Tamandua tetradactyla: one gene and its partners. The protein of the gene in region 1 purifies or fractionates together with the protein of each later gene. This does not show direct contact. Links are inferred from orthologs where the notes say so. Each region holds a gene or a part of one and is shown in the gene's direction. Other genes may lie near its edges.

The links.
Region 2: the proteins of LMNA (region 1) and KPNA6 purify together in Homo sapiens (affinity purification with mass spectrometry; 4 studies listed by BioGRID and IntAct, with this or other methods). This does not show direct contact. The link is inferred for Tamandua tetradactyla from reciprocal best matches to the Homo sapiens genes LMNA and KPNA6.
Region 3: the proteins of LMNA (region 1) and PARP1 purify together in Homo sapiens (affinity purification with western blotting; 3 studies listed by BioGRID, with this or other methods). This does not show direct contact. The link is inferred for Tamandua tetradactyla from reciprocal best matches to the Homo sapiens genes LMNA and PARP1.
Region 4: the proteins of LMNA (region 1) and H2AX purify together in Homo sapiens (affinity purification with mass spectrometry; 3 studies listed by BioGRID and IntAct, with this or other methods). This does not show direct contact. The link is inferred for Tamandua tetradactyla from reciprocal best matches to the Homo sapiens genes LMNA and H2AX.

The regions. Positions count from the first base shown.
Region 1 is NC_135330.1:9,116,784-9,124,706, forward strand, and holds the start of LMNA (lamin), read left to right. Parts: upstream 1-4,766; 5' UTR 4,767-4,925; intron 4,926-7,923.
Region 2 is NC_135328.1:193,718,175-193,726,607, reverse strand, and holds the start of KPNA6 (importin subunit alpha-7), read left to right. Parts: upstream 1-5,343; 5' UTR 5,344-5,418; coding exon of another isoform or gene 5,419-5,437; intron 5,438-5,846; exon of another isoform or gene 5,847-5,926; intron 5,927-8,433. UniProt on the Homo sapiens protein: Functions in nuclear protein import as an adapter protein for nuclear receptor KPNB1. Binds specifically and directly to substrates containing either a simple or bipartite NLS motif.
Region 3 is NC_135333.1:20,186,444-20,194,547, forward strand, and holds the start of PARP1 (poly [ADP-ribose] polymerase 1), read left to right. Parts: upstream 1-5,047; 5' UTR 5,048-5,176; coding exon 5,177-5,296; intron 5,297-8,104. UniProt on the Homo sapiens protein: Poly-ADP-ribosyltransferase that mediates poly-ADP-ribosylation of proteins and plays a key role in DNA repair.
Region 4 is NC_135334.1:21,661,623-21,668,325, forward strand, and holds H2AX (histone H2AX), read left to right. Parts: upstream 1-4,464; 5' UTR 4,465-4,560; coding exon 4,561-4,992; 3' UTR 4,993-5,501; intron 5,502-5,719; 3' UTR 5,720-6,098; downstream 6,099-6,703. Other genes in the region: DPAGT1 (UDP-N-acetylglucosamine--dolichyl-phosphate N-acetylglucosaminephosphotransferase), read left to right, coding at 1-190, 463-609, 1,779-1,863, 2,188-2,376, 2,745-2,832, 2,998-3,153, 3,235-3,300; HMBS (porphobilinogen deaminase), read right to left, coding at 6,613-6,703. UniProt on the Homo sapiens protein: Variant histone H2A which replaces conventional H2A in a subset of nucleosomes. Nucleosomes wrap and compact DNA into chromatin, limiting DNA accessibility to the cellular machineries which require DNA as a template.

The DNA.
Region 1 (7,923 bases):
CTTCGGTCTTCACCCGCGGCGCGGAGCCAAAGCTGGGGCGGGTGGGACGGGAGACGAGGTCCCTAATTTTTTTCAAGAGGCCGGCGCGGGGAGAGGGGGCAGGGTACGGAGGCGTTGAGGGTCTGTAAAAGGTTAATGCAGCGCCCGCCCTCCGCCGTGCGGTCTCCTTCCCCAGCCCCGCAGGTCCTGGGTCCCTCTTTTTTATGGTAATGAGGGGGGAGGGGCGGGGAGCGGTCCGGGCTGGGTCGCTGCGGCGCCCCCACCCCCCACTCCCGGCCTCCGGGCCGCGCGCTCCCTCCGCTCCCCGCCCCTCGCGCTCTCCCGGGGTCGATCCCGGCTCCCGGGCGCGGGGAGCGGCTCTCGGCCGAGCAGACAAAGCCCGCAGCCGCGATGACGGGCTGGGGGTGGGTGCGGGGGACCCGGCTCTGCGCGCGGTGCGGGCCAAAATGGGGTGCCGGGCTGGAGGGCTGGACCCCCCTGGCAAAGGACACGATCCTCTCGTCCCCAAGCGGCGAGCCACCCCCACCCCCCACCCCGTCTCCAGTCTCGGAGGCATCGACTTGGAGGTAGGTGAGTTCTTTCTCGGCCCTCTGGTGGGTGGAAGAGGGTCAGGAGGGCCGTGGCGCAATGGAGTGAGGAGGACGAAGGGGGTGAGAGAGAGGGGAGAAGGGGGACGCAGGCATGGCAGGGCTTAACAGTTTTGGGTGAGGGGCTTGAGCTTTGGGTGCCACGGAAGGAGGAGAGGCTGGGGGTGGACTGGGGACCCAGGCTTCCTTCATCCTGGGCCACGAATACAGCTTGGGAGTGCTCAGTCCTTTAGCCGTTTCTGTCATTCCACTTTTCTTCATGCATCTCTCTCCAGTAATTCAGCCCCTTTGACTCTGGAAATCTGGTGAAAGTGAAAATAAGTTTTTAAAGCTTAAACTGGGTGATTGCGTACTTTTAGAGATAGTTTGAGGAAGTTGGAACATAATGCAGTCTTTTCTCCTTCTACCTCATATCTTCGGCATTTCTTTTGTCACCCTTTTTATGCCTACGTCTTTCCCAAGAAAAGAGTTTGTACTGCAGCTTGACGGTCTGAAGTCAGACTTTAAGAAGGACTTCCCAAAAGAGGAGTATAAGAGCGGGTGGATGAGCTACAGTGGTGAGGTGTCCTTTTCTGGAGTGTCTTGGAAACCGAAAATCTGAACGGGTTTGTGAAGTAAAGCCCTGTTTGGAGGCAGGGGAATGAATGAGATGACCTCATAGATCTGGCAGTAGGAGGCCTTGAGAGCTGAGCTGCACAGCAGAGTTCCCTAAATTAATCCTTATCCCCCGGGTTGGGGAGGTGTGCCCCCAGCTCAGGGATTTAACATAAGATTATTGACAAGATGAACAACAACGGATGCCACCCCACTGGGTGACAGTGGTAGAGGAGGATTTGTAGCGACAGGAACTCGGGGAGTGGGCTCTTCCTGAAGTTTGTCCCCTCTCTGTCTGTCCCAGGGACCTGGATTGGGGGAACTGCGGTACTGGGGATTTGGGGCTTTCACTAGGAAAAGTTCCCACTCTGAGGCCCAGGTGACTGTTTTTCACACTAATAGAAATAGCAGAGTTGTACCAGGTGTCTTTATGGGGCCACCAGCTGATTTGAGCCTTCTTGTCCCCACCGAAAGGAGTCTCCCACTCCAGACCCCCACCCTGAGTTTGCCCTGCCTCCACTTTCCTCCCTGCTAAGCTAATTAAAGCAGGAGGTTAATGACCAAAGAAGCCTTGGGGATTTGCCCAGCGAGGAAAACAAAGGACAGAAACAAGTGTGTGTGAGTGAGGTGGGGACAGCTGCTGAATGGGAATAGGGAAGGGCTGAGGGGCTGGGTGATGGAGGCGGGGGTCCCTCCTGGACCCACATTACTGATCCAACAGCAAGGATGACTCAGCCCCTTGGGTGTGTCCAGGCACCACGTGTCCACCCTCAGAGTCCCAATGTGACTCCAGACAAACATCCTTCATTGCAGGAGAGAGGTAGACGTGGACCTGGCACCCTGGAGGGCAGGTGTGCGTGTGTGAGGGCACTTAAGTAGGTGGCATGGATGTGCACACATGGGAGTCTGTGCTTGGGATCACGTGTGTGCCTGCAGATTGTATATGTGTGTATTTGGGGGGTTGTGCACAGCAGGGAGTACCACAGTGCCCAGACCATAGGGGAGCCCGTGAGTGGACACCTTTACGAGTGGGGCTCGCAGGGTGGAACTTTGAGGGGTCCCTCCCATGCTCCCTGGGGCTGATGGCCTCCTTTGTTCACCAGACCTCGTTCTCTCCAAACAACACATTTGTGCGCCCACACTGGGTTCCTGTCCATGGGTACTCCTTTGTCTTCCTACTCCTGCTTGCCCAATCTATAGTTATGCTGATGAGGGTAGAAAGCCTTACTTAAACAATTTGCTTGGAAACGGCTTTCCTTATGACTAGAAAGGTGTGAAGGTGCCGTATCTCCCCCTTCCAGGACCTTGGAGGGGAAGACTGTGTCTCTCGTCTTTGTCATTGTCCCCCTATTCTGGCTCCCCAGTGCCCAGCACACAGCCCCGACTAGAGCAGAGACTCCAAAAGGATAGATTGAGTGTAATTGCATGTGTGAAGTCTCAGGTGTGAGGGGGAGGAGGCTTCTGGTTCTTGAGCAGTCATTTAATGCTCAGCCTCAATTTCCTCACCTCCAAATGGAAATAATAAGCCCAGTCCCTAGCACACTGCCTGGCTCATCCTAGGCGTTCAGTCAGTGTTAGTTTCCTTGCCTGGTTGTTCTTACCTCGAAGTTGATTTTAGCCGAGTTGTGGTCCCTGTTAGTTAAGTTGCATACATTCATTCATTCAGTCATTCAGTCGGTCAACCAATTCCTATTGAGCTCCTAATATGTGCCAGACACTGGAAGAGATGCTCACCCACTATGAGTTACTTGAAGTCAGTTCTAGGTCTAGACTTGCCAAAATAAGATCATCCCAAACAGCAGATAATTCCAAAAATAATTTCTATGGAGTACTGGAATGCAAACTGTGTCTCTGTCTCTCTAACACTCACAGACACACACGCATACACACAAACACACACACACACACACACACACACAGGCCAGGCTCCTGTCTCAGGTCTGGGGAACAAAGGACTCAGATGAGTAGCCTGAGTGTGCATTGTGTCTGTACAAGTGTGTGTCTGGGTGTGTGATAGCCTGGTTGCAGGGCATAAACTCTCAAAAGTTGCGAGTGGAGTGGTGCAGGTTTCACGTGGAGCCTGGAAGACAGGTGTGGTGTGTATGACCCAGACGTGGGGGAGGGGTGTCTCTATGTGGAGTTGCGTCCATTCTCTTGGAGGAAACCATGCACCAGTTGTCACTGTCCAGACACCAAGTACCCGGGATGGGGGCACACACCTAACGCCTGCCGCTCTCCCATCCTATGCTCAGAGTCCCTGGGGAGAGAGGGAGGCACACGAAGCCACCACCAAGGCTGCCCTACCAAGCAGACAGGTCCTTAAAGGGGTCATCTCATTCATCTCCCTATTCCTACCGGGATGCCTTCTTCCCCATCTTACTTAGCTGAGCCTCTTCTTCTATGCCTTATGGGGTTCCCATTTTTCTTTTCTTAATATCTCTCCTTTGTGGGAAGTCCACCCTGCTATCTAACCATCATCCTTCCTGCTGAGAGCCAGTTTCCTCTCCGTTACTGGACCATGCTCAACTCATTAAATAATTAATAATCAATGAGAATGTAAGAATATATTGGGCAAAATTCTGTAGACTACATAAAAGATCTTGATCCCTGCCTTCCATGAGCCACAGAAAGTAGCCTACATAACTCAGAAAACATGGACAAACAGGATTAAAAGTGGGGGCAGAAATGGTCTGTGGGACTGGGGATTAGAGGGAAGAGTCGGTCACCGTGGCTCCTTCTGTCACTGTGGACTTGATCTCCAAGGGCCTCGAGGACCCAGTTTGAGGTTTGAACCTGGACAAACACACCTCCTCCTTCCCTGGGGCCACCTCAGCCCTCCCCCTACAGATCCCCTGCACGGTCTGATTTCCCCAGGGACAGTAGCTTAGAGGGGCTGGAGTGGAGCCTGGGTCCCCCAGGACAGCTGGTTAACAGGGCCCCTCTGGGACTCAGCGCTGGACCCAGGCGTCCAGGAGGCAGGTGATACTGGAGCTGTGACAGTTGGTCCCCAGATTCCTCACCCAGTGGCGCCAGCTCTGGTTTCTGGCTGAGCGAGGGAAGGGGAGGTACCTGGTGCCAGTCGGGGCTGGTTGCCCTCTGGGGGCAGGGAAGGGGAAGTAGTAAACATACCTTGGTAGGTTGTTGAGGAGGGATTTTTCTAGTACCCTCCCTGTGCCAGGCACTGTGCTAAGTGTCATCAGGGGATATTGAATAAGACACAGCCTGTCACTGCTTTTAAGGGGTTCACAGATGAACTGATGGGTATAAAAGACATAATCCCTATATGGAATATCAGAGCTGGAATAGAAGTTGAATGAATGAGTGAATGAATGGCTTCATCAGTTATCTAATGGCTTCATTTTACAGAGGAGATTGAGGCCTAGAGAGCTCAGGCCCTGTGACTTCCTTGTGTCTTCTGTTTGATCAGGCTTCCTTTTCAGGAAAGGGAAGAGGAAGTCAGAGAAAGGAGTGGAAAAGGACCGCTGTTTCCTGAGTGTCTGTTTGGTGCCACTCTTTCTCCTTGGCCCTTACAGACCTGATCTTATCTAATTCTCATCACAGCTCCGGGAGGCTGGAGATGCTGTCTTTGCTTAACATTCCACCAAGAAGGGAGTGATCACTGGAGCTGGGAGAAGCTTGGGGAGACTTCCTGGAGGAAGCAGATTTGAAGGAGTCCTTGAAGAATGAGTGAGATTCATTCAAAGGGAGAGAATGAGAAGAATGTCTGGAGGTCCAGCACCCGAGGTACTCAGGGAGGATTCCCGGTGGGGTGGCGTGTCAGCTTGCCTGGGGAGCAGGGGACAGATGGAGGAGACACGTGTTTGCCGCCAGGTGGCGCTACTGGCCAACCACTGGCTCCTGTCCGGGCTCTGACACTAGGGCCCTGGTGCCCTGCCCTCCCTGCTCAGGTACCATCCCTGGTTTCTCCCACGTTCTATGCTTCCGGTAGGGCATCCCACAGTCGGGGGACCAAACAAAGGCTACCGGTTTGTTTCTGATTCAGGAGACAACCCATGTGGCTGAGACCTGGGCATCCCCATGGGTTTGACCAGCTCCCTTGGCTATCCTGAGTCCCCTCCAGCTGCCCTCCTGTGTCCCTTCTTAGCCCAGGGGCTAAGAAAATGGTCATTTGAGTCCCAACCTCCCTACTTATTAGCTGTGACCTGGGCCACTGTTAATAGTATCTACCCACTAAGGATTTTAACTTTTCATTCAGCAAGTTTACATTGAACACCTACCATGTCAGATATCCTTAGGCACTGGGGATCCACCAGAGAACAAGAACAAAGGGTTGATATTCTGTGGGAGGGGAGAGGCAGCTAGTAAACAAGTAAATAATGTAATTCCTAGTAATGATCTCCACTGGTGAGAAGAGCGAAGCAGGATATAGGGCAGGAAAGTTAGAGGTGGGTCATTTCGGCTGGTGATGTGGTAAGAACCGAAGTGGACATATAGGGCACACAGCATGATGTCTGGGCCTGGGTTAGCCAATGTTACTTTTTTTAATTTCCTTTTCCTCTTGCTCTACCCCATCCCCACGTCCCCCTTCCTTTATCCCACATTCTCTATACCTTTTCCCGGTAGCCCTAACAGGGAAGAAGGTGGTGCTGGCCGAAGAGCCAGGAACTCTGAGTTTTTAAGTCTTGACTCTGCCCCCAGCAGCCCAAACCCACTCCCCTGCCAGTGCCCCCAGCTTCTGGTAAATGACACCACTGTCCACCTGGTTGCTCACGTCAGAAATCTGGCACCATCTATGATCCGTCCCTTTGCCCTGCCTCCCTCCCATCCAGTCCACCACGTACTCACAGCTACAGCTCAGAATACTCCCCCAGACCACCGACTTCCCACCTCCACCGCTACCGCTGTGCTGCAGCCACCATCGTCTCTTACCTGCAGTAGCCTCTAACTGGTCTCCCTGCCTGCACTCTTGCCCCTTCCTGCAGCACCCTCCAATCCCCACCTAAAACCCTGCAGTCTCCTACCTAAAGCCCTACAACAGCTCCTATTGCCATTAGATTCAAAACAAAATTCCAGCCGGTCCAGCCTCATTTCTCACCTCCTCTCTGCCGCTGACACCGCCCCTGCCCCCAATCCTCTTCTCCGGCCACAGGGACCTTCTTTCAGGTCTTTGAACACACCGTGTTCTCATTATCCAGCCTTTTCCTGTGTTTTCCCTTCCATCTGCTCTTCCCTCACTTTTCACCTACCTGAAGCTTGGTCATCTTGCAGGACTTAACTTAGATGTCACTTTCCCTGGGAGATCCCCCGTGGTCCTTTTTGGGTGTCACTCGCCTTTCATCACACTATATTGTAAGTGCCTTTTACATTTCTGTTTCTCCTAGTATACTGGGAGCTCCCTGAGGACAGGGACTGGAGCTGGTCCACTGTATTCCCAGCACCTGGCACAGAGCCTGGCACACAGTAGGTGCTCAATAGATGTTTGTTGTTTGGAAGCTGAGCCTGCTTATCCTTATGTTCCCTCCACCCGCCTCCCCTGCTAAATATTCACCTCCTCCCTCTGCTTTTCCACATCCCCCACCCTCCACACCCAGCTTTTACCCTTACCCTCACCTGATCTCCAAGTGGGTGCTGTCTGCATGGTGCTTGGTGGATACTGTGCCCTCTCTAGCCCCTGGTCTGGGGCCTTCATACACAGCAGGAACTCAGTAATGGTGCCGTGTCACTGTCATGAGTTTTTGATTGATGGCTCAGAGGGAATTTCTAAGTCTGTAAACCCCTCCCCTCAGTCACCACTCAGGCACAGTAGGACTTTGAGTGTGCAAAAAAGGATACGGGGATCCCCTGGGGCTGGCAGGCCCTCTGCAGAACCCAGGCCTTCGCACACATTATTCCCTCTGCCTTGAATCTTCTCTCCCCAACTCATCTTGGCTATCTCCCACTCATCCTCCAGATGTGAGTTTAGGAGTCATGTCCCCCAGGAGGCCTTTCTGACCACACTGATGGGCCTCAGAGCTCCCCGAGTCTGCTGTGGGCCCCAGTACTTTCCTTTGTGTTTGTGCTTAGCCCACAGAGCTGCCTGAGCTTGTTTAGGTCGTCTGCATGTACACCAGACTGCACGCTCCCCCAGTACAGGGGATGTGTTCTCCAGTGCCCCGCACAGAGGAGGCCCTCAAAATTGCTAAGCAAATGATTGATTGAATGAAGAAAACTGCCATGTGACCCTGAACAGGTCACTCCATGTCTTCAGACCTTAGTTTCCTCTTCTGTAAAGTAGGGACAGAAGAGCGTAGGGCAGCGGTGTGCCTGCGAACGTTTACTGAAGGCCAAAGCAAAAAAAGCCCTGGGGTGTCGCATTTGCCGATTTCCTTGGTGTAAATTCTTTCACTGTGGCTGATTTCAAGCTACCAACTTGACATCACCGAAATGTACAGAGCTGGGGAGAGATGTGGACACCGGCTCACCACTGCAGATGGAGTGGCTGGGACCAAATGGCTTCCAAGGCGCTTTTTAGCAACAATCTCCTGGCCCTAACTGCCCCCTGCCCTGCTCCCCATGTCCTCGCCTACCCTGAAGACTGGAGGTCAGAGGTTAGTCCCTGGATTCCTATCCCAGCTCCCCACTCTTATTACCTCCCCAGCACCTCCAGTTCTTTCTTTTCTTTTTTTAAATTTTTTATTAATTAAAAAAAATTACAAGAAGCACAAACATTCCCAACACATACACTCAGCAATTCACAATATCATATAGTTGCATATTCATCATCATGATAATTTCCCAGACA
Region 2 (8,433 bases), on another chromosome or scaffold:
CATTTTTTGGGTAGGTGTCATTTAGCTTCTATGTATGAAAATAGTTTTGTTTTGTTTTGACAACAGAACATGATTTACTGAGGTTTATTTAATTAATTGCTTAAAATGGAGATAATGCCTACTTCTCAGGATTGTTGTACAGTGGAGATTATATCTACAAAGAGTTTGGCACATTACCAAACCTTCCTAATCTGCTAAGGCCATGGGCTCTATATCCTAGGACACTCTTAGTCTATTTTGTCTAATATTAGTAAAACTACCTCTGTTCTTTTCTGGTTACTGTTTGTGTGGAATATCTGTTTCCAACCTTTCACTATCCTATTTGTGTATTTGGATCTAAAGTGATTCTCATATAGACAGCATATAGATGGATCGTAATTTTTTATCCATTCTGCCTGTCTCTGTCTTTTGATTGTGGAGGTTAATCCACCAACATTCATTGTAAAGGCAGTACTTTCTTCAACCATTTTATCCTTTGGGTTTTATATGTCATATCTTATTTTTGTCTTTTTTTTTTTTTACCCTTTTAGTTACCCTTATTGATAGCCTTCATTTCTACACTTTTCTTCCAAACCTCTCCTGCCTTTTCCTTTCATCCTGTAGCACTTCCTTTAGTACTTATTGTAGGGCAGGTCTCTCATTAACATTCTCTCTCAATTTTTGTTTATCTGTGACTGTTTTAAACTCTCCCTCATTTTTGAAGGACATTATTTGCTGGATAAAAAGTTATTGGCTGGCAGTTTTTCTCTCTCAGTACCTTAAATATATCATACTACTGTTTTTTTTGCCTCCATAGTTTCTGATGATAAACTGGTATTTAGTCTTATTGAAGATCCCTTGCATGTGATGGATTGCTTTTTTCTTGCTGCTTTCAGAATTTTCTCTTTCTTAGGCATTTGGCATTCTGATTAGTGACTTGGAGTAGGTTTATTCGGATTTATTATATTTAGAATACATTGCGCTTCTTAGACCTATATGTTAATTTCTTTCATAAAAGTTGGAATTTTTCTACCAGGATTTCCTCAGATATTCTTTTTGCCCGCTTTTTCCTCTGTTCTCCTTCTGGGATACTCATGACACATATGTTTGTGTGTTTTGTGCTGTTCATTCAATTCCTTGAGACCTGTCTCTATTTTTTCCATTTTTTCCCCTTTCTTATCTTTTGTCTGTAAAATTGTGGATGTCTTATCCTCTAGTTCACTGATAATTGCTTCTGCTTCTTTACATCTGCTATTGTTTGCCTCCAGTGTATTTTTTACCTCTTCTATTGTGCCTTTCATTCCCATATGTACTGGGATTTTTTGCTTGCTTGTTTTGTGGGTTTTTTTTTTTTTTTTTGCATGTTTTCAAATTCTTTTTATCCTCACCTAGCATTGTCTTTATATCCTTTATCTCTTTTGCCATATTTTTCTCCATCTCCTTGAATTGATATAGGAGATTTGTTTGAATGTCATTAATTAGTTGTTTCAATTCCTGTATCTCATCTGAAGTTTTAGTTTGTTCTTTTGACTGGGCCATATTTTCCTGTTTCATAGTATGGTTTGTAATTTTTTGCTGGTGCTTAGGCAACTGATTCACTTGATGAGTATATTCTGAAGATCAGTTTCTCTCTCTCCTGCCAAGGATTTTCTTGTTGTCTTTGTGCTATAGCTCTTCTTTGATACTGGTTCAACTTGTTATAGACCTTTAGAATAGTTTGTGTTTGATCAGATTTTTTCAGCTCTTATTCATCTGATTCTTACTCTGGATATATGGTATAATTTTTGAGATTGTAATATTTGTGCAACTGTTTCACTCCCGGGAGAAAGCTTCCTTTCCCTTGTTCTCCTCTGGGAATGTTGATCTATTCTGTTTTTGTTGTTGTTTGCATGGGCAGGCACCAGGCATCAAACCCGGGTCTCCAGCATGGCAGGCAAGAACTCTCCTATTGAGCCATTGTGGCCTGCCCTCTGTTTGTTTTTTATTTGCCTCATATGTTTTTTTATTTGCCTTTATATGTTTTTAACACTGTTTTCATTATTTCTAGTTGCTTTTACCAGGAGGGCTTTTTCTGGGAGGAGGGTCCCTGTCCGTTTTTCTCTGTCAAAACAGGCCCAGGACCCACAGAAGTGGTGTAGATAGTTCCAAAGTACTCTGGGGGTGTGCGGGGAAGACCCAGAAGGATGTCAGTCTACTCTATATCTTTCTGATATGTACTTCCCTGGTGTGCCCAGCAGCTGGCACTCTTCAGCCACCTGTTCCCCATAGTCCTAAAATGGTACTGTGCCTTTAATTCTCAGCCGATTGCCTCTGCTGGGGGTGTGGTTGAAACAGAAGTTGCCAGCCTCTTTGGGCTTTGGCCAGGGAGGGTTGGAAACTGTTGCCCAGATCCCAGGCCCTGGAAGCTGAAGTCTCTTACTGCTGCTAACTGCCCTGGCCCTTGCCCACTTCTCCCCTTTTCTTGGGGAAGAGCTGCCCTTTAGAAACCTGTCCCCAACTGACCAGAGAAGCTACTGTGTCTCAACCAGTCCCACTTCCTCCCCTGCTTGGAGTGGGGTTGAAATGGAGGCTGCCAGTTGATTTCTGCCCTGGGCAGGTTAAAACTGTAGCTGTTATTAATTCAGCATCAGTGAGTAAAAGATGGGAAGAGAAGAAGATGAGAAGCAGTTTTACTACTTTGGAGAATGCTGTATTAGTCAAGGAAAGAGATACTGAAATCTTGGATGAAGAAGGGAGCATGGTAAGAGTATTGTGGAGAAGGAAAAGGCTCAGTTGACACCTCCTAAGCAGAATCCTAATGTTGGCACACTTACAAGGAGAAATGACAAGGTGTTGGACCTGCCATTAAAACACTTGTAATCTAGGTGGGGAGTTTAAAACAAACTGACTGTAAGGCACAGTAGACTAGAGGCTATAATCAAGTATGAGCCAAGTTGTTTGAGAGCACTTTTGCTTGATTCCAGGAGGTACAAAAAGAGGGATACTGGAATAGATGAGGATGGTTCAGAAAAATAGTAATTTTATTTTTCCTGGTAGGCTCATGAAGGCTTCATGACAACAGTAAGGCCCCTGAACTTTTCTGGCCCACCCCTCAAGTCCCTGACACTGTCTCTGCACCTGATGGGAGTGACAGATTGGATGAGAAGGAGGGTGCAAGTAAAGTAACTCTGGACCTGTTCTGTCCAGTATAGTAGCCACAAGTCAGATATGGCAATTGAGCACTTGAACTGTGACTAGTCTAAATTGAGATGTATATAGGTGTAAAATACACAATGAATTATGAAGACTTAGTACCAAAAAGAAAAGAATAATTTTTAAATTGATCACATATTAAAACAATAATATTTTAGACATATTGAAGTAAATATATTTTTGATATTAAAAAAACAAACAAACCTGTAGCTGTATTTTCTCAGGAGCTAGAATTCACTTTGAATTCACTAATCAAAAGCTGGAGTCAGTGCCTGTTCCCCGCTCCCCCCACCCCTTTCTGTTCTGGGTAAGAATTGAGTGTTCTGAATTCACTAATCAAAAGCTGCAGACATTGCCTGGCCCTGTCCTTCCCTCCCTCTCGCATTCATGGGATAGAGGGCTTCTATTTCCAGCCAGGGAGTGGCTCCCTAAGGTAGCCCTTTGTGCCAGTGGTGGGTAGATCCCAGCCTCTGCAACATAGAGAGATCTACTCACAGCTTTTTACCACAGTTTATCAGTCTCTTCCTTCTGCTCTTTGCTGGATAGTGTACGGTGTTCTTCGGGTCTCCAGAGCCCCGCAAGCAGTTGTTTCAGTCAGTTCCTGGCTATTTGCTAGCTTCCCTGGAGGGTGAACTGAATCCTGACCTCCCTATTCTGCCATCATCCCTTAGGGCACTCTTATCCCTTTCATTTTAGTTAACTGGCAAAGGGTCTTAGCATTTTAACTGAGAATCTTTTGATGATTTTTCTACTTGAGAATTCCTGGTGAAAAATTAAAGAAGGGGCCAGCTGAAAAAGCCATTTCCCCCTGGGAGGAGGCAGGTTTTTTCATACTTATACTCTTGAAGGAAGATATCTCCCAGATGTTGGGAGATATCAGTTTATATCCTTAATCTGTCCTCCCAGTACTATTAAATAACCTTAATGCATCATGATGAGCTATAAAACTTCCTAAATATAGCATATGCCCAAGAGTTAGCCTGCCAGATTTAAAGTCTTAGCTCATTCTCTGTGCCAGGGCAGTGGCAATAATGTTTCATCAGAAAGTCTTCCTTTGCAAAGAGGACAGCCAGCTCAGCTTTAGCAGCAGGACAAGAATCATAATTTGAAAAGGTTGATAACTTTATGATGTTTAAGGGACCATCTTCTCCTTTGAAGACTGTCATGTCATTAGCTAGAAAATGAATGCTGGTTCCACTAACTCTGTGTTTAGCTTTTGGGGGCTCTTCTAGGTAGATGCTTTCAGTTGATTACTTGGTAACTTTTTTTTTTTTTGAACTTTTAAAAAATTATTTTTAGGGCGGGCCACTGTGGCTCAGCAGGCAAGAACGCTTGCCTGCCATGCCAGAGGACCCGGGTTCGATTCCCGGTGCCTGCCCATGTAAAAAATATATATATATTTTTTTATTGAAATATATTCATGCACATAGAGTCCATCACTTGGAAACTTTCTGAAATATAGACCAGGTACATTAGACTTCGGTTTGAAAAATCCTGGAGCCAGCAGCTAAGCTGTCCAGGGTGCTTTAAGCACACATTTGTGCACTTGAAGGTGTTATGACATTGTTCACATCCCACACACAGGATAGCTGGCTATATGTAGTATGCCTATTTCTGTGAAATTGGGCATAATTTAAAAATTTTATGAATCTCAAAATTTTAAACATACCAGTGATTATAGCCCTGCAGTTATCCAGTTAGTGTGTGACCTGAGCCTGTTTCTTCATCTATCAGTTAGCACCCAAACCTGTTTTGTATAATTATGACTGGTCCTCCATTCTAAAAACTTAGAAAATGCATGATATCGTTACATATTTATTTCCTAGAAATAGAGATATAACTTGAGGGACCTGTTCACTTTGAGAGAGTTCATTGACTGAAGAAAAAAATCAGTCTGAGGCAGTTAGATGTAGTAAAGGTTATTTATTATGTTATTGTGTGTTTTCTTGACCCAGCTCCAGTAGGTAAGAAAGTGATTGATGGAAAAAGCCCCTTTGTCTGCTGGGTCCCTGAGAGCAAGCCAGCCTTCCTTTGGTTGCTGATTGTAGATGTGCTTGTGTTCCTTTCTCCTTCCAATCTGATCTCCCCTGTCTGACTTCTCCAGTGAAGTCATAAACAAATATTTGTGATAGTTTCTTGTTACCATGGTAACTAAAGAAACACAGTAGCTGGTTTCCCCTTCAAGCTTCACTGTCAGTGCTGCTTGAAGGAGGGACAACCCTTGGGGGAAAGCCAAGGCTCAGAGTCATGAAAAATCATTTATCAGGTAATGGGGAACAGCAGTCCACAGTGCTTCTTTTAGAAATCTGCCCTGTACCTGTGAGCCTTCAGGCCCAGGGATAATCAGGGACCCCAAAGGCAGGCTATTGCCATCTCCTAGAACTTTCTGCAGTAAGTAAAAATGTGACACTTGCACATTCTAAGAGCCTACTGCTGCTACTGAGTCCCTAGAATGCTTTCCAGAAAGCCCAGAGGAACCTTCCCTGAAGTTTGATCTGTTCTCTATCCCTGACTCCAGGGTTAAGCTCTCCATCTCAACCTCCATTTTCATTTTTCTTAAATCAAATTCTCTCATAGATTACTTACCCCTGCCCCATTTATGTGCATTCATTCTTGTTCTATTCTTTCTGCCCTTGCTTCCCACCTCCACGTTGAACTCCTGCTTGAAAACTCAGTCCACATTTTATCTTTGGAAGATTTTCTTTTAAACTCTGTCATCACAATTACCACTAACTCTCCAGAAAAAGGGCACAGAGTAAGTTTCTCTTTCTGTGTTCCTATAAAACTTTTACATCCCTTTTGCAATAAATTTAGTTATTGTTTAAGGTTAGAAATGTAGAGGATAAGAGTTGTTAATAAGGGAAAAGCCAAGTTTGTAAGGCTTCAGTCCCATCTACGCACACTTCCAACACAAAAGCCACTTTACTTTACATTTTAAAATTAATATTGGGATTCCAAGTCATATTTAATTGGAGGTACGTTGCAAAAATGTTGAAATCACTGTAAGTTGCAAAGCCAAAATTATACCTAAATCCATCAGACTCGGAAGTTCTGTTTCCTCTGTGGCCTGCCTCTCAAAATATAAGGCTTTTCAGATCTCAGATCCAGTGATTAGAAGGAGTGAAGGTGGACTGGGTGAGGATAGTTATTGGGTAGAGAAGAGACGAAGGTGAAGAGAGCTGTTTGAGCAGTGCCACAAACAAAATCTTTATAATAGACCAAGGCCATAGGTCACACAAGCAGAGAATAAAAGCAGGTCTTACAGGCCTGAGAGCTTCCCTTATTATTATTTGATGAAATGTGGTAGAGCCAGGCCTGAATGCATTAAGCAGGTGGAAGGCTGATAGACTTCACTTAAGCTTCTCTGGAGGCTGCACTATATATCCAGCCACACTTCTTCCCAACTTTTAATCCCCTTTCAGTCTGCCCATGATACTCAACCTTGGGAGCCTTTAAGAATCATCTTTAGCAAAATGCAAATCAAACCCACAGTGAGATACCATTTCATATCCACTAGAATGGCCATTATTAAATAACAAAAAAAAAAACAAAACAGAAAATAGGTGTTAGTGAAGATGCAGAGAAATAGGAACACTTGTGCTTTACTGGCAGAATTATTGAATGGTGCAGCACTCTTTCAAATCCTCAGGAAGTTGAGCATAGAATTATCATATAACCCAGTAATCCCATTTCTAGGTATATATCCCAAAATGTTTGAAGCAAGGACTCAAACAGTTATTTGTACACCAGTATTCATAGCAACATTATTCACCATAGAGAAAAGATGGAATCTTTGCAAGTGTCCATTAACAGATGAATGGATAAACAAAATGTGGTATATACATACAACGGAATATTATTCAGCCATAAAAGGAATGAAGTTCAGGTAAATGCGACAATATGTATAAACCTTGAAAACATGTTAAGTAAAATAAGCTAGACACAAAGATAAATATTACATGATTCCTCCTATGAAATATCTAGAATAAGCAAATTCATAGGGACAAAGTAGATGAAAGGTTACTAGGGACTTGGGGGGGATGGGGAGTTATAGCTTAATAAGCACAGAGTTTCTGTTTTAGGTGATGGATGTTGGTGATAGTCACAGAACACTGTAAATGTAATGCCACTGAATCATGCCCTTAAAAATGGTAAAAATGGCAAATTTATGGCATTTCATTTATAACAATAAAAATAGAAAATTAAAAAAAAATTTCTAGAGGTCATGAGGAGGGTATCTTTCTGACCTTGTGACTGAAAGGATTTATTAAACAGAACCTGCATACATACATACATAGTTATATATCTATAATATATGTATCTATAATATATCTTAACTAAAAGAAAAGATATATTAACCTTAAAATTAAGAACTTTTTTGCTAAAGGACGCCATAAAAAAAGTGAAAAGACAAGCCATAGAGTGTTAGAAGATCCTGTAACACAAATAACCAACAAATGATTAATAAGTAGAATACTAAAGGACTATAAAGTGATGAGAAAGGGACCGCCTATTCAGAAAAAAAATATTCAGAATATAGAAACAGGCATTTTTTTCACAGAAAGTAAAACATACATGGCCAATAAACATGAAATTTAACCTCATTAGCAATCTGGGAAAATCAGTATCTCAGTGAAATCCTTATTACAGCCGGTAGGTTGACTAAAGTCTGATAATTCCAAGTATTGGTCAGAATATGTATCAGTGGAAATGATGTATTGCTAAGCTAGTGTAAATGGGTAACAGTGGAAGGCAACTTGAAACTATCTGGTCAAGTTCACCATTTACCAACCCAGCACTTCATTCTTATATTTGTACCTTAGAGCAGTGCTTTTCAAAGTGTGATCTGCAGACTGTTGTAGACTACAGTCCAGGTTTCTATTTTCCCTGTGTTGATATTTGCACACATTCATCAACCCTCATCACTCACTCTTTAAAAAAACAAACACAGGTTCACTTAAGAATGTCCTTGATGAAACAGTACAGAGTCAACCCTTGAAAGTATGTCTGGAGGAAAATCACTTGTGGGATTAAATTGTACACTAAATTACAGAGTTTTGTCATGAATGAATGTAAGTCATTTTACATTGCATTACATTTTCTCAAAAGTATATGAAGTGTCAGTTATCAATAACATTTGAGCTTTCAAGTGAAAATTATAATTTAGAAACTCTTTCTATCTACCACTAAGTGCTCAACAGCTTCCTACTAGGTTTGTAATAGGAAAAAACGGGGCGGGGGGGAAGAGACCAAAACAAAAAG
Region 3 (8,104 bases), on another chromosome or scaffold:
TTTTTTTTTTGCATATATGTTATTTTTCACAACAAAGAAAAAAAAGAGAGAAGGAAGTGTATAGCCAAGAAAATAATATTTACAAATAAGGATGACTGCTGAATCATTATATTGATGCTTCTTTTGGTCTCCAGTGTCTTGGAGCAGCTAGAAGGGAAAAAGAAAAAGCTTGGAACTGTAACCCATACCAAACTTTAAAATCCGTCCTATAAACACTTCTTAAAACGTACTTGGGAATTTATTGCTTTTTTTGGTACGTGTGTTATATTTCACAATAAAAAAAAGTAAAAAAAAAAATAAATAGTGTCAACTCAGGGAGTGGGGTGCAGTAGATGATGAAAAGAAACTTTCATCTTTTCTTCTGCGCACTTTTGTGTTTTCTAAATCTGTGCTTCCCAATACAAAAATAATGAGATGCATGTACTTTTAAATTTTCTATTAGCCACATGAAAACATTTAAAAAAATAGGTGAAATTCATTTTAATTATTCACTGTATGTAAGCCAATATATTCAAAATATTATCATTTCAAATTGGGGTCATATAAACAAATTATGAGATTTTTACATTCTTTTTTCTATACTCCATCTTTGAAGTCCAGTGTGCACTGTAAATGTACAGCACATCTCATTCAAACTATCACACTTCACGTGCTCAGTAGCCGCATGTAACTAGTGGCTCCTATGTTGGACAACCAAGTCTCAAGCTTTTACAAAAAAAGGATCTATTTGTGTATCCCATGTGAAATACGAAAACTCAATGTAGATAAAACAAAAGTAAATAACATTATCATCCCTACAAGCAAATAAAAACATATAGCACAGCCACATTATGAAATTGCATGCGTTTTTAAAAAGGAATGAAATGTCCTCTACATTCTGACAGTAATAGATAACTCTGGGATATTAAGGAACAAACTTCTTAGAGGGCAATATGTACATAATGTGATCTCAAAGTCTGTATGTGTGTATAATGTTTAGTGAAAGAATCCGACTGGATATAGGACAAATTATAAACACTGATCCCCTCTGGGGTTTGGGGATGGGGAGGGGTTGGGGAAGGAAGGTTTTCACTCTTTATTCTATTTATGCCTGTGCTGTTTGATTTTTTTGGCTTGTTTTCGTTTGTTTGTTTAGTTTTATAAGAGGAAAATCACAATAAGTACCTTTGAGTGCAGTGTCTCGGCCCTGTCTCTGCCTCTCTCTCTCTCTCTCACACACACACACACACACACACACACACACACACACACATCCCTGCACACACACACACCACCAACAACAGGGTTTGAGCTCTGGGATTCTGTGAGGTGCCTTGGGAGGTGCCAAGAGAATGTGATAGTCATGGGCACACATTTCAAGGCTCCTGCTCAGCCCCCACGTCACACCTCATCAGAAACTGGAGTTTCTTTTGAGCTGGACAAAAACTGAGAGCAATAGACTCCTAAGAAATTCAGAAAAAATTCAGGATGGTTGGAAAACAGGGACTTAATAAAACTTTTACCAGCGACCAACTAAATGCCAGGCGTTGAGCTGGCACAAGAAGAAAGGTTGAACCATCCCGCCTTAGTCAAGGAAGGGCTTAACCCTCCTCAGGATCAGACCCCCGCACAACCAGCTCAAGTACTAGGAAGGGGCAAAGCAGCCACGGGGCTCAGCTCTGAGGACAAGAAGGCTGGAGAGCGTGATTTAAGGGGAGGCTCTGGAAACTGAGGGGGAAAAAGGCAGAGGCTCAGCCTCTCATCTTGCCTCTAATACTGAGAGACTTTAACACTGGGAGAGATCATTTAATCTCTCCATATTTCCATTTTCTTATTTGAAAATGAAAACAGTGCGTGAAAAGGATGTAATTTAAAACATAAATGTTGCTAGTGAGCTCAGAGTGCTCTGACTGATTCTGTCCCAAAAGGAAAAAAGAGGGAAAGGGAAAGGGGAGGGGATGGGTGGGAAGGGGAGGTGGAGGGAGGAGAGGATTAGATAAACACTGAAGCAGGCATGTGCACCAATATAATCAAAGCTCCTGTCCCATAGAAGCCTGGAATTGGAAACATAGGACCTAGGTTCAAGTTTGGTTCTTTCATTTTGTAGATTTAATTTGAAGAGTATTCATTCAAATATTAATACTAAATGTGTACTATCAGCAGGAACTAGATGTAGAGGATGTAGAGATCAGCAGGTAGTTTCTGCTCTCATGTGCTCACCGCCTGGCACGCTGCTACAGGTTGGTGGGAGGAACTCCAGAGCAGATGTCCCAACAGCAGCCTTGGCAGGACCAAGGAGGAGGGAGACAGCTCTGCTGGGAGGGGCGGCGGGGTAGATAGTGGCAGGTGAACCAGATCTTGAGAGACAAATCAGAGCTGCCAAGTGAAGGGAAAGGGAACAGGTATTTTATCAAGACAGAAAAAACATGTGCAAAGTTAAGGAGATGTGGAAGAGTTCATGTGAATGGAAAGTAATTTGGTGTGACTGGAGTGCTGAGAGATGAGGGTGGAAAGGATACTGAGGGGAGTTATAAGCTGTTCTGGTTTGCTAGCTGCTGGAATGCAATATACCAGAATCAGAATGGCTTTCAAAAAGGGGAATTTAATAAGTTGCTGGTTTACAGTTCTAAGGCCGAGAAAATGTCCCAATTAAAACAAGTCCATAGAAATGTCCAATCTAAGGTACCCAGGGAAAGATACCTTGGTCAGGAAGGCCAATGAAGTTCAGGGTTTCTTTCTCAAGTGGAAAGGTACATGGCGAGCACAGTCAGAGTTTCTCTCTCATCTGGAATCTTTTTCTCCAAAATGTTTCCTCTTTTATAGGACTCTAGTAAACCAATCAAGACCCACCCAAATGGGTGGAGACATGTCGTCACCTAATCCAGTTTAACAACCACTCTTGACTAAATCACATCATCCGGGGAGATGATCCAATCACAGTTTCAAACATACAGTATTGAACAGGGATTACTCTACTTTGATGAAATGGGATTTTGATTAAAACATGGCTTTTCTAGGGGGCACACATCCTTTCAAACCAGCACATAAGCCATCACAAGGAATTTAGTCTTTTAAGCTTTAGGCCAGGATTGGCAAATTCAAATCGCCTAGGGTACCAGGCTGATAAAGGAAAGAAGGGAAGAAGCCCAGGCGTAAGACACATACTGCTATCCTCTCCACCTGCTTTTGGTTTTCCTACTCTTGATAGAGATATAAGTACCAAAAAAATTTTTAACTTGAGAGGCAGTGTGGTAGTTAGATTCAGTTGTCAACTTGGCCAGGTGAAAGCACCTAGTTCTGTTGCTGTGGACATGAGCCAATTGTAGGTGAATCTCATCTGTTGCTAATTACATCCGCAGTCGGCTAGGAGGCGTGTCTGCTGCAATGAGTGACGTTTAACTTAATTGGCTTGTGCTTAAATGAGAGAACGCAATGTAGCACAGTCTAGCAGCTTGGCATTCCTCATCTCAGCACTTGCAGCTCAGCTCAGGCCCTTGGGGATGGAGAAAGAAATCACCCTGGGCAAAGTTGTTGGAACCCAGGGGCCTGGAGAGAAGACCAGCAGAGACCATCCTGTGCCTTCCACGTAAGAAAGAACCTCAGTGGAAAGTTAGCTGCCTTTCCTCTGAAGAACCAACAAAATAAATCCCCTTTTATTAAAAGCCAATCCGTCTCTGGCGTGTTGCATTCCGGCAGCTAGCAAACTAGAACAGGCAGTAAAGGAGGCAGCAAAGTGTTGGAAAAGTGCACTAGGGCACAGATTCTTAACCTTGTTTGCATGTGTGCACACTCAGGACATTTTGGAGGTCCAGTGAAGGCTACTAACTTCTTCTCAGAATCAACTGTGGGTAGGGAATCACCTTAATGTAATGGTAGCCTCCAGACATACGATCAGGCACGCTATCCCAGGAGTCACAAAACAGAAACCCCACAGTTAAATTAAAATGCTTGAATTACTGTTTATTAAATCAGTTTAAAACAGTTTAAATCAAAGGGGACCAGATGGGGTGCATAACACAGATGAGATTCGGTACAGGCTAGGCAGAAGGACCATACACTTTCTCTTTCCCTCCCTCCCATGTCAGCCTGCCCGGGCTGATGGTGGGGTTCCAATCACCAGAGCTGAGGGTGTCTGGTCACAGGTGTAACACTGCATTTAGCTTGCTGAACAGACATAGGTATTATGTGTATTTCTTGAGCAGAGCTCGTGGGAGCCAGAAAAGGAAGAGAACGCTACTGGGTGACCATTTAGGGACAGCCTTGCTGTCGACCCAGAAGCACAATGCACGTCTTTTTAATTTGGTCGCTAGGTAAAAATATAGTCCTACATTAAATAAGAAGATCTAGAGCTAGCCGGCCTAATAACCACGGCAATAATATTCTGAGCTTAATAATATTTTGATTTATCTCGAACTGTAAAGTGATACGAAGTATTTGTGGTGACTATTGGTGAGTCAAATCACGGATTCTGCTAATATTCCTAGGATTTGTATTCATGCTTCAAAATTCATAGTAGAGGAAACGCTAAGTTTCAGTTAGGACCCTGTTCCAGCGGTCTGCGGACTCCAAGTGAGTCCCACGGGCCAGGGAGGGTCAACCTCGCAGCTCACTGGCCAGCCCTCGGCAGGTGAGCCGCGTTCCCGAGCAGGCGGCTCTCCGAAAAGAGCGGGAACGCAGAAAGATGGCTGGGGAGTTTAAATAGCGGTGCAACAGCAACTACGCCTGCCTAGCAACTAAACGGTTAAAGGGGTAGCAATTTACCCTTCAGAGGGAGACTAAACGGCCGCCAGAGCCCCCAAAGCCCGTAAACCCTTCGCCGAGAAGGGCCCGCCCTCGAGGCCGGCCGCGGGCACACGCGCTGGGGGCGTTCCCGCGGCCAGGCGTCAGCAATCTATCCCGGAGCAGCGCCCTCGGACGCCTGTTGGAGATGGTGGGCGGGCGCGCGGGCGCCGGGGGCGTTCCCGCGGCCAGGCATCAACAATCTATCCCGGAGCGGCGCGCTCGGACGCCAGCAGGGGCTGGTGGGCGGGCGCGCGGGCGCCAAGGGCGGTCCCGTGGCCAGGCGTGAGCAATCTATCCCGGAGCGGCGCATTCCGACGCCTGCAGGAGCTGGGGGGGCTGTCGTCCGCGTGGCGGGCGAGGAGGAGGCCCCTGTGGTCTTGCGGTCCCGAGGCGCTGCGGCGGCCCAGGGAGGAGGATGGCGGAGGCCTCGGACAAGCTTTACCGAGTCGAGTACGCCAAGAGCGGGCGCGCCTCCTGCAAGAAATGCGGCGAAAGTATCCCCAAGGATTCGCTCCGGATGGCCATAATGGTGCAGGTGCGGGAAGGGCCCGGAGGCCTCGGTTGCTCACTGGGTGGCGCGGGCCGCTTTGTGCCGAGCGGGGACCAGGGCTGCCTCAGGCTCCCCGCGCGCGACCTCCGCAGCGGCCCCTGCAGCGGCCCCGCCTTGTGAGATTTAGGGAAGGGCTTGGGGGGGAAGGAGGGCGGGGGCTCTCGGAATGGGCCGGGTGGGCCCGACCGCTTGGACCCCTCCAGCTGGGCCGCGGTCGCCGCTGCAGTCACTGTGCACTCGGTGGCCTGCCCGTGGGCCCCCCCCCCGGAAGGCTCTGCAGAAAAAACTCGGAAAATAGGATCTGTAACTGGTGTTTTTTGCATTTTAAAAAGGAGCAGGGCGGGCCACGGTGGCTCAGTGGCAGGGTTGTCGCCTGCCATGCCGAAGACCCGGATTCGATTCCTGGTGCCTGCCCATGAAAAAAAAAAAAAGATAACAATAAGGAGCAGCTTTAATTCTTTTTTGGGGGTGTTAGAGGAGTTCTTGTTATTTTATCATCACTCTCCTTGGGGGGAAAGGCGTGCAGCATCTTTTGACGCTAGTCTGATTTTGATCTGCCTTGTGCTGGAAGGTTTTTGACCTACATTGGTGGTGACTACTGGCTTGTGGGGATTTTTTTAATAACCTATTTTTTACCTATATTTAAAAACACCCACTCACCCTCAATTTAAAGAAGTTTATGCAAAACTATATAAAAGTCGGTGTCGTTTCTACATAGTGCATTCCCTTTTTGCCTCATTTATGCTTTGAAAAAAGCATTTTCCCCAAACTTCCCAGACTGTCCTTTTGATGCCTTGACAGCCATCTGATTTGAGTCGAGTGGGGCGGGAAATTCCTTCTCTGGGCTTTCTGACAGAGTGGGGAACCCCGTCCCATCCTCCCTGAGACTTCTGAGATGACGATTTGGGGGTGTGCTTTGAGGCAGTGTGTCTGAAGTCTCCTGTTCAGTGGAGGGGCCTTCCTGCCTCCTCCGTCCTGCAGTTTGCTGGTGTCTGTGTGTAATTCTCACCTGCCCAGATCCTCCCCGTCTCCCATATAATGCTGTTTGTTACTCAGCATCAAGGTACCTCTTGATTTTCTCTTTCTATAATGAGACAGGAAAGTGTTCCAAGAATGATCAAATAGCCCTCCCTGAATTTTCTAAAGTGCCGGTACTTAAGATTATCTGGTTATCTTGGTATCCTCAGGGCATACCTAGCTCAGTACCTGGAAGCTGTGCTTTGCATTCAGTACACATTTGTTGAGCACCTATTATACACAGTTTCATTCCAGGCACTGTTTTTGGTACTAGGGACACAGTGCAAACTCTGCCTTTGGGACTTTGCCGTTAGTTAAAGGGAATACAGCTGGTAAATAAGCATTACTGCTGTGCAGGGGTGTATGCCAGCTGATAAAAGCTGGCAACCCCAAGGGGTCCCAACTAATGTGAGCACTTGATTAGGAGTCATTTATTCATGGAAGTGGGGAGTGGTAAAGTGAGGACTGAGAAGAATATGGGCCTATCATTGGAAAACCAGAATTTACCACTAAAGGGCTTTGAACTTTATTGCAAATATATGGGGAGTTTGCTTTTGTGAAGTTCCCTCTCCTACTGCCTGGGTTCTTGGCCAAGGTTCTATGAAATGGTGGGTGGAACTCAAGAAGTCCATGAATTTTTCAGCTCTGTTTTCACTAAACTCTAGATAAAGGTATTCTTTTCTGCAGTTATGAATATAAGCAGCAAAGCAAAGACATATAAATAGTACCAGTGATTTTTGTCACCAGTAGTAATTACAGATATTATCATTTTATAGTTGTTGGAAATCTTCAAAATATCATTTACTCTCATTCCTACTTCAAATTTACTGTAATTATCAGACAGGTACAAGTTTGTTATATAATGCTTTAGAGATCATGTGTTACTGTATCTCCAAAATACTTCTTAAATGATTTGATGATTATCTCAGTATAATTGCTTACCCTTGTGAGCCTCTGCATTATATTTATTGTGCTTTGAAGATGTTACTGCCACAAACGGATGCCCATAGTCTTCGCCAGACAACCAGAGATCCCTGTTGTGAGAAGGACAGAGAGAATATCTGCCTACAGCCAGTGTGTTGGCAGCAAGCCCAAAATGTTGAGGAAGAGGAGGGTTGGCTCTGAAGGAGGGAGTCCTGAAAGGCTTCTCTGAGGAAGGTAACTTGAGTTACCTGTTTCAGTTAAGCTGTAACATTCTGGGCCCTCATTCCAGATATTTATAAGGTGAAAGAAATTCCCTCTTATAAGTAAATGTAGGGGGCGGGCCACATTGGCTCAGCAGGCAGAGTTCTCGCCTGCCATGCTAGAGATCCGTGTTTGATTCCCCGTGCCAGCCCATGCAAAAAAACAAATAAATAAATAGATGTAGGGCGGTGCACCGGTGGGCTCAATGACAGAATTCTTACCTGCTGTGGAGTTGGATTCCCAGAGCCTGCCCGTGCTAAAAGAAAATAGAAGTGAATGTAGTTTTTCTGTAAAGGTATTTGGAGGTGGGTAGAGATGTTTCCTTTGTGGATTTGCTTCTTAATTCAGAATTTAAAGTTAGTCTTTCTGCTGGCTAAGCTGGTTAAAAGCCAGAAAGAAAGAAGTCATTCTTCTCTGTGCTTGCATATAAATACCTTCTCTTACATTTGTATGGGAGGATTGTTGGCTGCTTATCAAATATCTGATACTTTGTTGCCTGAAGGAAGGGAACTGGGTCTTCCAGCCTGGTGACCTTGGGGGACTGTGATGAGTTCTTCCTCTGTGAGAGTTCTCCAAGGTATGCTGGCTGTC
Region 4 (6,703 bases), on another chromosome or scaffold:
CTTGCCATCTGCTGCATGATTTTCCTGGGCTTTGCGGATGATGTACTGAATTTGCGCTGGCGCCATAAGCTGCTGCTGCCCACAGCTGCCTCATTACCACTACTCATGGTCTATTTCACCAACTTTGGCAACACAACCATTGTGGTACCCAAACCCTTCCGTCCAATTCTTGGCCTGCATCTGGACTTAGGTGAGTAGCCCTGCCACTTAGTGCCCCTCTGGCCCTTACTTCAGGTCAGCAGATATCCAGCAGAATACCCTTCCTGATATATCAGATATCTATCAGAACACCCTTCCTGATGCCCTGCATTCTTCTCCAGTGTTCCTGTTCCACTCCTGTGTCTTCTTCTGCCTTCTGTCCCTCATCTTGTCCACTCTCCTTACCATGCCCCTCAGAAGAATATTCTTCAATCCACTTTCCATAGGTGGCACTAGTTCTTTTCATACTGTCTTTTCTACCAGGCATTCTGTACTATGTCTACATGGGGCTGCTGGCAGTGTTCTGTACCAATGCCATCAATATTCTGGCAGGAATCAATGGGCTAGAGGCTGGCCAGTCACTAGTCATTTCTGCTTCCATCATTGTCTTCAACCTGGTAGAGCTGGGAGGTAGGTGGCTTGGCAGAAGAATGAGAAAGAAGTCTGAGTGTTTGGTGAGTTGCCTGATATATGACTTTGGGTAACTCAGAAGCAATATGTGATTAATTATAGAAGAAAAAAGAAGCTATTTGCTTTGCAAATAATAACTAATATTGATTGTAAGAGAAATAGCAGCCCTGTCATCTGTCACTGCATTGATACTAATAGTTAGGCCGTGGTATTCTTCTGTTGAACATAAACAATTTCATAGAACCCCCAAATCAGACAAGCTCACATTGTGATTGTACTGATGCAAGACAAAGACCAGACCCCTCTATAATCATATCTGAGAACAGGCAGAACCACAGGAACACTGTGCAAACCACAAAAATGACCAAACATCCTCCTCTCCTGGCTAACGTGAGTGACTGCAGCTTCTTTCCAATAATAGTGCAGTTCCTCCTACTTCTTAGATAAAAACTATTAAGATGCTCACCCATAGAATTATTCCTGCTTTCTGATAGCTCTCAGTTCAGAGAAAAACTCTGCTTCTTTGCATCCTTCCCCAAATTACCCAAAACAAATCCTTTAACAAGCTCTCCTGACACCCTCTTACTGAGGTGCTGTGTCATTCCCTTTACAGCATGGATTTCCACAGTCTTCCTGCTGCAACAAGTTAACAACCCAACTTTGACTATAGATGTGCTTCTGGTGGTCTTTGGGCATTGGGTATCAACAAGCGCTTATTAAAGTTAACCACTTTTCATTTTGTGTTTTCTTTATTATCATTTTTTAAAAAAATTTTATTTAAAGCACTTTTCAAACATCTCATTTAAACCTCATAAAAACTCTATGGAGCAGGTGTTATCACCTCCATTTTAGAGATGAGGAAACAGGCTTAGAGAAGTTGAATGTATCATGATCAAGGCCACACAGCAAGGAAAGAAGGCTCATATTCAAACCCAGGTCTGAAAGTCCTAAACCAAATTTAAAACAGTAATTAGTTTAGGAAGGCTCTGTGAAAGGGGTGGTATATCCAGAATTGCTAGGGTGACATGAGAGGGTTAGTGAGTACTTGAATGTGATTTGGGAGAGGTTGATGCTGCTTGGAACAGAACTTAGAGATAGGTTGGACAGACAGAAATAGAACCAAGTAGCTATTAACTTTCCCCCTCTTCCTTTTTTCTTTGCTCCCAAAGGTGACTGTCGGGATGATCATGTCTTTTCCCTCTACTTCATGATACCTTTTTTTTTCACCACCCTGGGACTGCTCTACCATAACTGGTAAGTAGGCTAAGGGAGAGAACTGTGTGAATGTGTGGTCCTGATCATGGCCCACCTCTTGATGGAGAGGCTAAACCCGTGTTGAGTATCTTCTGGGTCCTCAATTGTTAGAATTCGGAAACTGCTCTCTGCCCTGCAATATTTGGGGCAAGAACCCTCAGGTATTGATGAATTCAGGTCTCTGTGTGCTACAAAGTTGCTGGAAGAACTGGAGTCTCCTGAGTCAAAACTAGGGTCAGGATTACCTACTGGCCAGTGTGAGAGGTGAGAGAAAGGGTTGGTAATGCTTCTTGCCATTGGCTTAGATACCCCCACCCCCCACAGGTACCCATCACAGGTGTTTGTGGGAGATACCTTCTGTTACTTTGCTGGCATGACCTTTGCCGTGGTGGGCATCTTGGGACACTTCAGCAAGACCATGCTACTGTTCTTCATGCCCCAGGTGTTCAACTTCCTCTACTCACTGCCTCAGCTCCTGCACATCATCCCCTGCCCTCGCCACCGTATACCCAGGTAGCCGCCTTGGGTACCAGGGTAGAAAAGGGTAGCCATTGAAGGGACATCAAAATCTTTTCACTTGGGATGTCTAAAGCCAGCCTATACATTTGCTTGCAAAGAGAGTGAGTGTGCCCAAAGAAGGGCTAACTCTTTCCATGTGGGTAGCCCTTTTGTAATCTACAAAGCAATTTACTTACATAAACTCATTTAAAATTCAGAGTAGCTCTGATCACACAGTAGTAAGCAGCAGAGCCAGAAATAGATCTCATATTGTTTAATTCCACAGTCACTTCTCTTCCTATTGATTAACCACTGGGAGGAGAGTTCTTTAAGTAATGTCACAGTCACATAAAGCTCTCTTCTCACCCCACCCCACCCCACAGACTCAATACCAAAACAGGCAAACTGGAGATGAGCTATTCCAAGTTCAAGACCAAGAGCCTCTCTTTCTTGGGCACCTTTATTCTAAAGGTAACAGAGTGACAAGGAGGTAAGGCCTTAGGCAGCCATCCTGAACTCGGGGCATGGGAACCCTGGGGCTGCCTTAGATCAAAGGGAATGTGGAAGCAGTAGGTAGATCCACATTCCTGAAGCATAGGTTTTAGCTGCAGTTCTCTCCACCTCTGGCCCCTCCAGGTAGCAGAGAGCCTCCGGCTATTGACAGTGCGGCAGAATGAGAATGAGGATGGTGCCTTCACCGAGTGCAACAACATGACCCTCATCAATTTGCTGCTCAAAATCTTTGGACCCATGTATGAGCGAAACCTCACATTGCTCTTGCTGCTGCTGCAGGTGAGGTTGAGGATGGGGTCTCCACCTCCTTCTTGTCTCACTTTCTCTGTGGTTCTCACTTGAATCCTTTTCTTCTTACAGATCCTGGGCAGTGTTGTCACCTTCTCCATTCGGTACCAGCTTGTCCGACTCTTCTATGATGTCTGAGTCCCCTGATCATTGCTCTCTACCTCGAAATCTCCAGGGTTCCCGACTCAGGCTGAGCTTTTTCTGAACCAAGACTGTCTCCCAGTGCAGGCCTCTCCCACACTTCATTCTTCCAGAATTTGTTCTCAGCTTTTCCCGTCCCTGATGATGCCCTCTTAACGACTATTGGTTGGGCTTTGCCTATGGCTTTCTTCAACTTGCCATTCTCTTCCTCTTCATCCTGTTTCTGCCCTGAGGTAGGATATGGCAGCTTTTATGCAGTTATCCACAACTCAACTCTCAGAGTCCTGACAGCCAAGGAAAATGCCAGGCCTTGGGATAGAACCTGGGCTGGGGACAGAGACACAGACCTGAAGGTGACTTGACATTTGACTACAAATTAAGTGTTCTGATTAGTAAGAGCAGACCAGGAGCCAGGTGCTCCCAATGTTGACAATAAAGTGATGTCTTTTTATTGTTCCTGAAGGTATTTTTCCTGTATGGGCATTTTAGGGTAGGATGGAAGGGTTAGTGAGGGCATCCCCAAAAGGATACCTATTTCTCTGCTCCATCCTTTTCATTACACCGGACCCCTTCTACCAAGAAGTGAACAGAAAGAATTGAGAACAGATAGCCCATGTTGAATAAATATTGAAATAATGATATTTTGGGTGGCGTTGAGGACCAGAAGATTGGAGTTATCTAATTTCAGGCATAGGTTCATACTTTTAGGTGACTCATTTCTTCCCTTTTTCATTCGCCCTTTGCCCGATAGGAGGACAGAATGAGAAGTAACCAGACCTGGAAGGGTAAGCAGCGGTGGTCTTAGTGTTCACTCCATTTCTTTAAAAATCCTAGGCCAGCCCGGATTTCCCAGAGGCTTTTTAGGCGGTTTTAAACTCCACCCACTTTGTCTTCCGGTCTGGTCTCCCACTGTAGCGTTTAAATCGCGCGCGCTTCACATGGATTGGCTACATCTGGGGAGGTTGGGCGTCTGCGGTGCGCCTCTCCTCCTCGCCTTTTCCCCCGGGCTAAGGGTTTTCAAATTCGACCAATCGGCAGGCGCTCTTCCTCCTTCGAGAAGCGTCATCAAAGGGTTAACAGTAGCCAATCGGAGGCAGGTATTAGAGAAGAGAGCCAATCAGGAAGGTGCGGGGGTGTGTCCTAGGGGCTATAAAAGTGGCCCCACGGCGCGTGCGACGGCAGTTGGACTGCGGCTGGCTGCTGTGATTTTCAGTGTTGAGAAGCTTTTTCGTCTTTGCTTATCCTACCTCGCGCGGCATGTCGGGGCGCGGCAAGACCGGCGGTAAGGCCCGCGCTAAGGCCAAGTCGCGTTCATCGCGCGCGGGCCTCCAGTTTCCTGTGGGCCGCGTTCATCGGCTGCTGCGGAAGGGTCACTACGCGGAGCGTGTGGGCGCCGGCGCTCCGGTGTACCTGGCCGCGGTGCTCGAGTACCTGACCGCTGAGATCCTAGAGCTGGCGGGCAACGCGGCCCGCGACAACAAGAAGACGCGGATCATCCCTCGCCACCTGCAACTCGCCATCCGCAACGACGAGGAGCTCAACAAGCTGCTGGGTGGCGTGACGATCGCCCAGGGAGGCGTCCTGCCCAACATTCAGGCCGTCCTGCTGCCCAAGAAGACAAGCGCCACCGTTGGGCCTAAGGCGCCTGCGGGCGGCAAGAAGGCCACGCAGGCCTCTCAGGAGTACTGAGGGAGGCCCCGCCGGAGTCGGGCCGCCCCCGGCCCTCCCCATGCCACCACAAAGGCCCTTTTAAGGGCCACCACAGCCCTCACGGAAAGAGCTGAGCGGCGGCCCCCGAGCCGTAACCTTCATCCCCGGCCCTTCACCCCCACACCCCCCGGCCTCTCCTCGCCGCGCGTTTGCTTCCGGCCTCTGCAGCCGCGGGCCTTGCAGGCCTGCGTTTCTATTTCACCTACGGGGAGGTTGGAAAGACAGGCTGTCCTCTGTGGTAGAAGCACCTGGCCTGCCGGCGCAGCTCTGCTCCCACACCGCTTTCGGTCTCTCCAGTGGCCTTGGCGTGGGGGCGCGGCCCCTGCTCCAGAGCTAGTTACCCATCCGCTCCTATCAATTGAGCCGCGGGGTGGCGGTGAGACGGGATCCCCTCCGAGGAGACCGGCCTCCCGCCCTGCAATTGCTGCTGCCAGGCGGCTGAGGGTGCAGCCCATGCCCAGGGGTCGGACGGCCCTGCGGCCCTCAAGGTGAGTTGGTGCAGAGAGCGGCCGGCAGAGGCCCTCACCGCCGCGGCAGAGTGGTCGTCTGTTACCTTTCCAGCTTGGTGCTTAGCCCAGGACTTTTCAGACGTGACTGTTGATTTCCAGGCTTTGACGGGAGAGGGACTGGTCACTTAATTTGCTTGGGTGCCCTTTTGCTGCCAAGTCACGGGCTTTCCCATCTATTCCTCCATCTTTATTCATAGGCTTGTCTGCTACCGCCTGGGCTGTGATACGAATGTTTCGCCAGAGATGACTGCCTCTCGGAAAGAAGCTTGGGGGAGGGGCAGAGGCCTCCAGCTGGGAGTCACAGCTGACTGTGTGGACAGTTCTGTGTAGGTGCCTGAAACCGACTGGTGGCCAGGCCTGTGGGGTCTACCCTCTCCACCTTTATTTCCCTTCCAGCAACTCAATTCAGCAATGCAAGCACCTCCTAGATAACCAGCACAAGTCAGTTCATCCCTGTCTGGACTGAGCCTCTGTTGGCTTCTGAACTGGAATTTTGCAGATAACCCATCCAAGACTAGTACCTTAGTTATTGGGAAATTTCAGATGGACTAATTTTATTAAATGTTTCTTTTTTAATGAGGAGTCTCTTCATTTTGCAAGAGTTGTAGGATTGATTTTAGAGTGTGTATAGTGGGGGATTACCTAAATAAGGGAGTTCATTAACTAGAGAAGGAGCAAGCCACAGTATTTTTGGATTACAGTTCTGTGTTTCTTGGGAGAGAATTCCTTCTGTTTGAAATGAGAGCTACTGAAGTCGAAAGGTTGTTCCAGGATTACTTTGGGTAGTGGCCTGGCCTCTGAAATAAGGAGTAAAGGGTTTTGTGTTTGCTATTTACTTATTTTAACTACCCCACTGGGAAAGAGCAGAAAGAAAACAATCTTCAGAACTGCTTTATTAGTAGAATTAGTTACATTCAAAGGCTATGACCTTTCTCTAAAGAGATGCAGCCCCCACCTACTGAGGAGGCCAGGCAAAGTCACCAAGGCGAGGCAGGCCCCTGGAAGTCCATGATCCTGGGGTATAATCACCTCAGTCAGCATCAAGAGTGGGGCACTGTGGCAACCCAGGTACCTGTGCCCCACAGACCTGTTAGTGGGCATCGTTAAGTTGCCGTGCAACATCCAAGATGCTCTTGGCCCCTTTGTTCAGCAACAAGTTGGCCAGGCTGATGCCCAGGTTC